Linked DNA regions of Saccharomyces cerevisiae S288C. Changing the gene in region 1 together with any one later gene gives a genetic interaction. Each region holds a gene or a part of one and is shown on either strand. Other genes may lie near its edges. The genes, in order: SPT8, SAP30 and HTZ1.

Evidence for each region.
Region 2: mutations in SPT8 (region 1) and SAP30 together harm fitness more than expected from each alone (negative genetic interaction), as found in Saccharomyces cerevisiae (4 studies listed by BioGRID, with this or other methods).
Region 3: mutations in SPT8 (region 1) and HTZ1 are lethal when combined (synthetic lethality), as found in Saccharomyces cerevisiae (8 studies listed by BioGRID, with this or other methods).

What each region holds. Positions count from the first base shown.
Region 1 is NC_001144.5:251,042-254,803, forward strand, and holds SPT8 (SAGA complex subunit SPT8), read right to left. Parts: upstream 2,040-3,762; coding exon 231-2,039; downstream 1-230. Other genes in the region: ERG3 (C-5 sterol desaturase), read left to right, coding at 2,820-3,762. UniProt on the Saccharomyces cerevisiae protein: Component of the transcription coactivator SAGA complex. SAGA acts as a general cofactor required for essentially all RNA polymerase II transcription. At the promoters, SAGA is required for transcription pre-initiation complex (PIC) recruitment.
Region 2 is NC_001145.3:793,039-796,186, reverse strand, and holds SAP30 (Sap30p), read right to left. Parts: upstream 1,269-3,148; coding exon 663-1,268; downstream 1-662. Other genes in the region: CUE1 (Cue1p), read right to left, coding at 1-382; YMR262W (putative endodeoxyribonuclease), read right to left, coding at 1,520-2,461; TPS3 (trehalose 6-phosphate synthase/phosphatase complex subunit), read left to right, coding at 2,818-3,148. UniProt on the Saccharomyces cerevisiae protein: Component of the RPD3C(L) histone deacetylase complex (HDAC) responsible for the deacetylation of lysine residues on the N-terminal part of the core histones (H2A, H2B, H3 and H4).
Region 3 is NC_001147.6:302,917-305,649, forward strand, and holds HTZ1 (histone H2AZ), read right to left. Parts: upstream 1,068-2,733; coding exon 663-1,067; downstream 1-662. Other genes in the region: E3 ubiquitin-protein ligase HRD1, read right to left, coding at 1-119; PLB3 (lysophospholipase), read left to right, coding at 2,433-2,733. UniProt on the Saccharomyces cerevisiae protein: Variant histone H2A which can replace H2A in some nucleosomes. Nucleosomes wrap and compact DNA into chromatin, limiting DNA accessibility to the cellular machineries which require DNA as a template.

The DNA.
Region 1 (3,762 bases):
TATTTGTATCGTGCGTCTATGTGCTTTTGTTAATATGAAGCGTATTATTAACTCCATTCATTTTACTTTTCATTCAAATTTTGATAGTATAATATGCCTTTGTCTGCCCGGACCCTGAATTACTGACACAAAATGAAGGGATCAGTGGCCCTGAAAAAAAAAAAAAAAAAATAAACGGCGCGCGGAGTAATTATGATTATGATTATGGTTATGATTATTATTACAACTCACTATTCTAAGTCTATATCGTAAATAAGGGTCGTGTCCGTAGAATTCCCCTGCCAGCCTCTGTTGCCACTTGTGCTTATTATAAATCTTGAAGTGGGGTCGAGGTATAAGTTTGATATAATACCACCGTGATGGCCCGGCACGATGAGGAACGGCACTTTAGAACTCTTTGTAGTCGAATTCGAAGCATCTACTGCAATTTCAACGTTGTACAATCTGATATTATCCCGCGATGCACATAGTAAATGCTTGTTATTAGGCATGGCTTTAACACAAGAGACAGGCCCTGAAATAGAAGGCAGTTTCAAATTATGGATAGGTTTCGAGGGCATCTTCAAGTCAAACTGCTCCACACAGGCATTCCTTCTCCCTGCATACACATGATCACCATCTACACCCCAACATGCGGACAAACACCACGGTGGGACGCCTGCACCTCTCTCCAGAGACAATGCTGGCGACTGCGTCATGCGTCGGTCCCAAATATGCACGGAACCGTTCAACCCTGAGGTCATAAAAACGGATTCATCATAGACTATGTTCAAAGATTCTTCAGATATCTGTTCTTTGTTCTCTTCACCATTAGAACCATCCCCCGTCTCGACGGGTTCGTTGCCAGCATCTTGCTTTTCGTCTTCGTCTTCATCACCAAACAGAGAATCCATATCGTCATCTGCATTTTCATTCTCTTTACCACTGTTGACGTTACCGGACACATCCACGGACGAGTACAGCGGCCGCATTTCCAAAGATGACAATTCAGACCTTGATTTTTTAAACTCATTAACTATGTCACCCGTCTGCAAATCCCATTCCAAAAGACGCTTATCCCAGGAACCACTCAAAAACCTGTCCTCTTGACCGTTTAATCTCAGTATGTTAACGATTTGGGTATGTCCATTCCTGCCCTTAAAATAGTGCGCAATGCTCCCCTCCATGTAGCGAACGCCCTGCATGGTAATCCCACCATTCTGTAGCCCGCTCAGTATAAAGAGGCATTCGCTTTGGACTTCCAAAGAATGAACGGGGCTAACTTTGGGCTCGTAATCTGTCTTATTAGCGGAGAGTTTCATTTCTGATTTTTTCTGCGGGATCTCATTTTCCCAGTACGACTGCAAGATACCCGCGTTCTGAATAGACTCAGCCAACGAATGCTTCTGCAGGATAGTTAGAGAAAGTTTCCCCTCAAGCGTGTTCAGCAAGTCGTACTTCCTTATGTATCCATCGCTACCGCCCAAAAACAGGTACTTGAGACCCCTGGACACGGCCAACGCATTGACGTGCGTCTGGATGGGTATGGCTGCCGTGGGGTAGATATTGTACGAATCCGCAATCTGTGCGGCATTCAACATGTGCTTATAGTACTCATAAACCTCTCCATTAGCAGAGGCTTCGTGTGTAGAGGAAGATGCTTCCCTGGACCCCACTCCTCCATCAACATCGCTCAATTTCACATCCTCGGATCCAATCTTAGTAACAGCATCGCCACTATCGCCTGCACCGCCAGCACCAGCAGCAGCAGCCTTTTGCTCATCATGCTGGTGCTCATTCGTCGGTGTAGCAGTCTTATCCATTCTTGCGGCGTCGTCCTCACCATCGTCGTCCTCCTGTTCATCGTCGTCCTCTCGTTCGTCCTCGTCATCATCATCGTCCTCATCATCATCATCGTCATCCTCTTCATCTTCACCACCGTCATCATTCCCCTCGAGGTCCTGCTTTGAGTCGTTTTCCAGCCCACTCAGCATCTCTTCGTCATCCTCCTCGTCATCCACCACCTGGTTGTTAATTAGAATATCGTCAACCTCGTCCATTACGTAAAAGAAGAAAAAAAAAAAAACTGAGCCTTTAGTACACTACAGTTACTGCTACAGCCTTTTACAGCCCAGCATCTGGCACCACTACGCTATAATATATGATGCGTCTATTATGCTAGAATCCTTCCTGAAAGGGCATTCTGGAAGCCCTACGTACAGAGTGACAATATATTAGGGCATCCATAAAAATAGATTAGGGCAGCTCTGCCATTTTTTTCATAGCCGAAAGAAGAAAAACTGAAAAAAAAAATGATACGAAAAAACCGCGAAACGACGCCTTTTGTTGCGATTGTCGGGCATCGCAAGTTACGACGCGTTGTCCCTTGCATCGCTGCCGTGTGGCACGACCCACTGCGGCCTAAACGACCGAGATCGGTGCCCGGGGCAGACCACCCGAAAACTCCCGGGCATTATTTCGGTCGTTTAGTTGCGCCCCAGGGCAACCGGGGTGTATACGAGGCCGATGGCTGCGATAAACGAAAAATTCAGGCTCGTATAAGTGGCACAATAGAAGGTGAAGAAGAACAGCAGGTGCATTGAAACAAGAGGTTCAGCAGCGATCGGGTATTGTTGTTGCTGCTATTATGTAACGGTCGAAAGAAACATCGCGGTATATATTAGAGGCGGATTTCTATCTTTCTTATCAATTCGTTTTTTCATTCACTTGTTCATTCATTCTTTACATTTGTCTTGTTCTTTGAAGTGGTTGCAGAGGAGGTCAGTTTGTTGCATTTGTAAAAAAAGATAATAAGAAAAATATTCGTCTAGATTTGAGATATGGATTTGGTCTTAGAAGTCGCTGACCATTATGTCTTAGACGACTTGTACGCTAAAGTTCTGCCCGCTTCGTTGGCAGCTAATATTCCTGTCAAGTGGCAGAAATTGCTAGGGTTGAACAGTGGGTTCAGCAATTCTACGATTTTGCAGGAGACTTTGAACTCCAAGAATGCCGTCAAAGAATGTAGAAGGTTCTACGGGCAGGTGCCATTCCTGTTTGATATGTCGACGACGTCTTTTGCATCGCTATTGCCTCGTTCCAGCATCTTGAGAGAATTCCTCTCACTATGGGTTATTGTTACGATCTTTGGTTTACTACTTTACTTATTCACGGCTAGTCTCAGCTACGTGTTTGTGTTTGACAAGTCGATTTTCAACCATCCTCGTTACTTGAAAAACCAAATGGCAATGGAAATCAAGTTGGCAGTCAGTGCTATCCCATGGATGTCGATGTTGACCGTTCCATGGTTTGTTATGGAATTGAACGGCCATTCTAAACTATACATGAAGATTGATTATGAAAACCACGGTGTAAGGAAGCTCATTATCGAGTACTTCACTTTCATCTTTTTCACTGATTGCGGTGTGTATTTAGCGCACAGATGGTTGCATTGGCCAAGGGTCTACCGTGCTCTGCACAAGCCTCATCACAAGTGGCTGGTCTGCACACCTTTCGCATCTCATTCTTTCCATCCTGTAGACGGGTTTTTGCAATCCATCTCGTACCACATCTACCCATTGATTCTGCCATTACACAAGGTTTCTTATTTGATTCTGTTCACTTTTGTTAACTTTTGGACTGTTATGATTCATGACGGTCAATACCTATCAAACAATCCTGCCGTCAACGGTACTGCCTGCCACACGGTTCACCATCTATATTTCAACTACAACTACGGTCAATTCACCACTCTGTGGGACAGACTAGGGGGTTCTTACCGTA
Region 2 (3,148 bases), on another chromosome or scaffold:
CAACAGCCGCATTGGCCCCCATTGGCGCCCTGGAGGGCTCAAACCCAGGTGGAAAGCTGAATTCATCACCACGCAAGTACCTTTCCACTGTTTCCTCGACTGAGCCTGTGTTTTCCAAACTATACCTAATTTGCTCAGGATGTAAGTTAGGGGCTAGATTTTGCACTGTTTCCACCATCTGAGTAGTCACGGGGTGACCTCCATTGACTCTACCAGTCCTTCTCAAGGCATTCTGCGTGGAGCCCTGAGGACGTCCGTGTGCGTTTACACCTGTAGCGGATAAGCGTTGTGCTGAGGGATGCTGATTACTTTGGAAGAATTTTTTCAGAAATATAACTCCAAACACAAGAATCAAAGTGATAAGCAATCTCGAATCCTCCATGGCCAAAAGAAAAAAGTTTGCGCGATCGTAGATTGTAATGCTTTATGGCGCCTTTTATAAGAAATAGGTTGATGAGTTGTCTATTCAATGCATCAATGACAGGCCCACCTCAGTTATATTAGATCGTTTAAAATGGCGCGACAGCTACCCGCACCGTATACAAAAAGGCATTAAACTAAATGGAATACTAGCAAATAAACAAGTGTTACTGTCCATTTTAACAATTACCACCTTAAAAGTTTACATAACTTATACACAAAAGGGCTGCCTCATCGTTTGATCAACCCCGAAATTCCATCTTGAATTTCTTCTTCTGGTTTTTTACCTTGTATATAAATTGCGGTATGCAATCTGTCTCTTTAATGGAATGCTCATCGAAATGCCTTCTCACCACGTTGGCCAGGTCTCTCTTATGTATCCTTTTATCGTGCTGCCCCTGTGTGTTCCTCTTGTATGAATAAGTCTTCGCGCCCAATTTGGAACCCAATAAGTATCCCTGCAGCGTCAGGTTGTCCGGTACGTCCAATTGAAAGTGGTCTTTATACCTTCTCAGGAACGCATCCGTATACTCTTCGAAATCCATTGGGTGACTCTTGGGGCGCAGATCAGGGTGGTTGTCGGTGATATGTGTCTCTATGAGATTCTTAATGTACTGCTGTTGTGCAGCTGTGAGTCTTTGCTTCCCATTGGTTCTCCCGCTGGAGGTAGGCCCGTTATTGTTATTGCTGTTATTGCTGTTATTATTATTATTATTATTGTTATTATTGTTATTATTGCTGCCATTGTTGTTGTTACAGCTGCCATTGTTGTTACTTGCGTAACCACCACCCTGAGTGGGTCTGCCTCTCGATTCCGTTTCAGCGTTTGTATTAACTGGCCTAGCCATTACTACTCAGTATATACCTATCCTTCGATTTGCTAAACTATAAAGGAATTGCATTATCACAATAGATACACAACCGCTTTTATATAATTTCTAAGTTAAAATCTGAAAATTTCACAGTATATAAAAAAGAGCGCTTTTTCCCTTCCGGAACGGCGTTGCCTTGCTAAAACACATGCATAGCAAGAAATGGTATACAGCAAGCCTACTTAATATATCTCATTACAGTGCTATGCTGCCACCTCAAAAGCGTTTCACTTGATAAATTTCTGAAAGTTTTCGTATACACGCAAAGCGGCTTGTGAGGCATCCAGTGTCTCGTCCCATGCTCGTGCGATTTGTGCATTCAAATACTGCAGCTGCTCTGTAAGGGCCTTTTGGTATGACGGATCTGGATTGTCAATAGGATAGTCGGTTTCAGTAAGTATGCAAGTTGAGGGCAAGCTCCTGACCAGGGCATCTCCCTCTTCTGGGTCCTTAAAATTAATCCATTTGGATAGGCTCACAAAAATACGATCCGGGGGAAACTTCTTGAGCCATTGGCCCAGAAGCGTTTCCTTGGAGCCTGTGTACGAATGTAAACATATCTTGACAGAGTGATACGTCAAGAGCTCTTCATTGCAGATATCGTTTAGTTTCCCGTGGCACTTTACATCGTGTATAGAGATGGGCTTGCTTGTGTGCCTTGCCAGTCGGCAAAATCGCCTGAATACTGTTTCTTGATGCGATAGTTTGACCTTCACTGTCGTAAGCCTTGCCTTCTCGTTCTGCATGTAGAAACCATTTGCAGGAAGTCTGAAGAGCTTATCAAGACCGATTTCTCCAATCACACTAACCAAAGTGTCGTTAAACTCTCTTTTTATATACTCTTCAAGATCTAGAGGTTCGGGAAGCACCTGAACCAAACTGTCGAACTGTTCTTCATTCTTATACTCCAGTACATCTTGATAGTGAGAAACCTTGTCGCGCCGACTTCCCACATAAAATAAGTGGCTGTACCAAGGATGCACACCAAATCCCACGCATATATCGTTTTTACTTGTGCTTCTGCCAGCCAATTTTTTCAAATTGTTCCAGTCATATGGGTTTGATGACATAACGCAACGCAACGTACCCTGGGACCCTCCATCATCACCGCAGAATGTGTTGTCTGGGTCGGTTATAACATGACAGTGGGCATCAACAAGTTTATTCATCTACTTCCTCAATGAACAGCGTAGTGTAACACCTAACCTCGATAGAGTTGCAATTGCCAGTCTTCTAAAAGGGCCCTTTCTTCCCTACGTAATCAATTGTCCTCCTGGGCTTCGCGCGGTGCCCCTGGAATTAATTAATCCCCTTCAGCACGCAGCAACGGCAACTCCAGGGAGCATCAAGTGGACGAGCAAACATTCAATAGTATTAAGTCTAAGACATAAGTTTTAAGTACCGTTGCTATTCCGCTTCATCTTTTATCACAATAAAACAGTACAAACGTTATTGCAGGTCCTGGCTTTATAATTTATTGCTTCCTATTCAAAAAACCACAGACTAATAACCACGGGCAACCTCAATGACTATTATCGTCGCTTCTTTATTCTTACCATATACCCCTCAATTCGAGGCTGATGTCACCAACTCGGATACTGCTAAGCTGGTTGAATCAAGTATGATCAAGGTAGACTGCAACAACCAGGAATTGAGCAACAACAAGCAAGAAAGAAGCAGTTCTGTAACTTCGGCAAGCTCTCATTATATTGGCTTACCTCAGGAGGCGCAAATTAACGGTGAACCCTTACAAAGGGCCAATGTGGGCTCTCCTGCTACGGGAGTTAACTATCATAATGAGATGGAAATGCTTTCCTCAGAGCAATTCCTGGAAGAGCTGACTGCCAATGCCACTC
Region 3 (2,733 bases), on another chromosome or scaffold:
AGTGTTACTTGCAAAAAGGAAACGCTTGTCTTGGTGGCTGAATACACGCAATAAAATGTGAGCAAATATGTGACAACTACAAAAATTGCCAACTGTTTCCTTCTATTTTCTGGCACCATATTATTATTTTGTCTTTCTCCCCTTCTCTTACAAATTGCAATTGATAGATGATTTTCTGGTTATAAAAAGGAACCAACAAATCGGTAGAAAGTCGACAGTATAACTAGTGGTGAAGCTGTTATTAGAAATGGTAGGGGGGTTTTTTTTTTGTCCTGTCGGCACGTATGGAAATTTATCGTCTATTAAACCTTTTCTTTGATTTGATTTCTACAGTGTACTTTTGTAGGTGTCCTTAATTTCCATTTTTCCGGGTATGCAAAGTTCAACAAAAAGAAAGCCCTGACCAAATTTCTGCGTACATAACGGCTACTGCGCTATCGTTGGGAATATTGTGTGAGAGTATATTTTCATGCTATATATTATAGTAAAAACATAAGAGATTAGACGTGAAAGGAGAGATAGATTACATATATGTATGTATATAACTCGGGTACGGAGAGACAAATTTCAACTTATAATAATGATACAGACGTTAATATGGATAGAATGAGGATACAGGAGCAGGGAGAATTACGGGAAATGGGAAAGAAAAACTATTCTTCTTATTTCTTACTTCCCTTTTTTTCCACTTTCAATAATAATGCTTTATTTATATGAGGCAAAACACCACCTGAAGCAATTGTAGCCCTGATCAAAGAATCTAACTCATCGTCACCTCTAATGGCCAATTGCAGATGTCTTGGGGTAATCCTCTTGACTTTAAGATCCTTGGCTGCATTACCAGCCAACTCCAGCACTTCAGCAGTCAAATATTCCAACACAGCAGTCAAATAAATGGCAGCTTTGGATCCTACTCTTGTTCGGCCGGTAGCGTGCCTTTTCAGGTAACGCTTAATCCTACCGACAGGAAACTGCAAGCCAGCCCTTGCTGAAGAAGATTGAGATCTCAATGAACCACTGTCTTTAGCGCCGGATTTACCTTTACCTCCATGAGCTTTTCCTGACATTATGTTAAGTTATTTTTACGTGCGGCTATAGTGCGAAATTGAATTTAACGATATTTTTTCCGACTGAAGTATAATAGAGTCCGCAGTGTTTTTTAGTTGGGGGTTGTGACTCTATTACACTGGATAATAGTTCAGCTGTTAAATAGAGCTGTATGCTTTATTTGTTGTTTTTTTTGTTTTGTTGTTTTCGTGCACGGAGCGAGCGCGGCGGGTTACGGAACACCAGCGGCCAGTTCTACGAGTAGTAAGTTACGGGCGTAAAGTTACTGTGTGCTAATCTAGCATGGATGCATTCAGTAAACCTTTTCAATTGAGTCTAACGTTCTCTAAAGAAAGAAGAATACTGCTATTTTAGGTATGTGCTTACTACCGCTTGTGCGGACCTGCCCTGATTCCAAGGTAAGAGACAGTGATTCTTGTCCTAAGCTCTTTTCTCCGGGGCGGGCGGGCGGCTGGCAGACATATTGATTGCGGGTAACACCTCCGAGGTTAATTAATCAAGCAACGTGCGGAGTTTTATCACATGGATGTTTCTTATCACCGGGTGCGCGCCACGCAATATATAAAACGGTAAACATACGCTGTTGCAAGGCAAGACACAACAGCGGCAAACACTTCAGAGAATACAGACGATAGTCATCAGCACTCCTAATAATCGTATAATGAATACTATACGAAGCTTTGTGCGTTGCAAAAAGAGCATACCAGGCGAAGAGAGCGCAGTTAGTAGGTGATCGGGAAATTGCTGAGTACAGTTGTTTGCCTCCTGTGATACCGCGTCACATGACCATTTAAAAGTGTCCATAATGTCATCGGTAACGTCACACTCACATGAGTTTTCCTGACTTCAGCCTCCTTCATCTCGCGTTAATACGCCAGCATCGCGCACCATATTACTGCCCGCGTAATCCAATTCCTCCTTTCGTTCTCAATGACTAAAACGCAAATCATTTTTCCTTTTTTTTTGAAACCGGTGGACGCCCCATAGAACTTCCAAATCAGGAAATACCGCAACTTCATCCGTTTTCGTTTCGCTTTAGTCCTCCACGAAAATATCTTGCCGGTTCCGCGAATGTTGTACTGGTTCTTCTGTGCAATGAGCCTTTTTCTCTTCTTTCTTTTTCCCTGCTTTTAAGATGGCTTGGCTATGGAATTACTCAATTTGGCACTTCTTTTGCAAGATCCAGACTTGCAGGGATTCTATCACCATTATTACCACACTACTATGTTATTGTTACGCTTTTCATCCACTTTTATATAAGTTATACGTGGTTTTACGAGTTCTAATATTTCACTTTTCAGCTTGGAATACGCCGTTTTAAGAGGACTAAAAGCAAGGAAATTACACACATAATAATATAAGTAATGATACGTCCATTATGTTCAAAAATTATTATCAGTTACATATTCGCAATTTCTCAGTTTCTACTGGCCGCTAATGCGTGGTCGCCCACAGATAGTTATGTTCCTGGCACCGTGTCGTGTCCCGATGACATAAATCTGGTAAGAGAGGCTACGTCTATATCTCAGAATGAGAGCGCATGGTTGGAAAAGAGGAATAAAGTCACTAGTGTAGCTTTAAAAGATTTCTTGACTAGGGCTACTGCAAATTTTTCAGATAGCTCAGAAGTTTTGTCGAAGCTATTTAATGATGGCAACAGCGAAA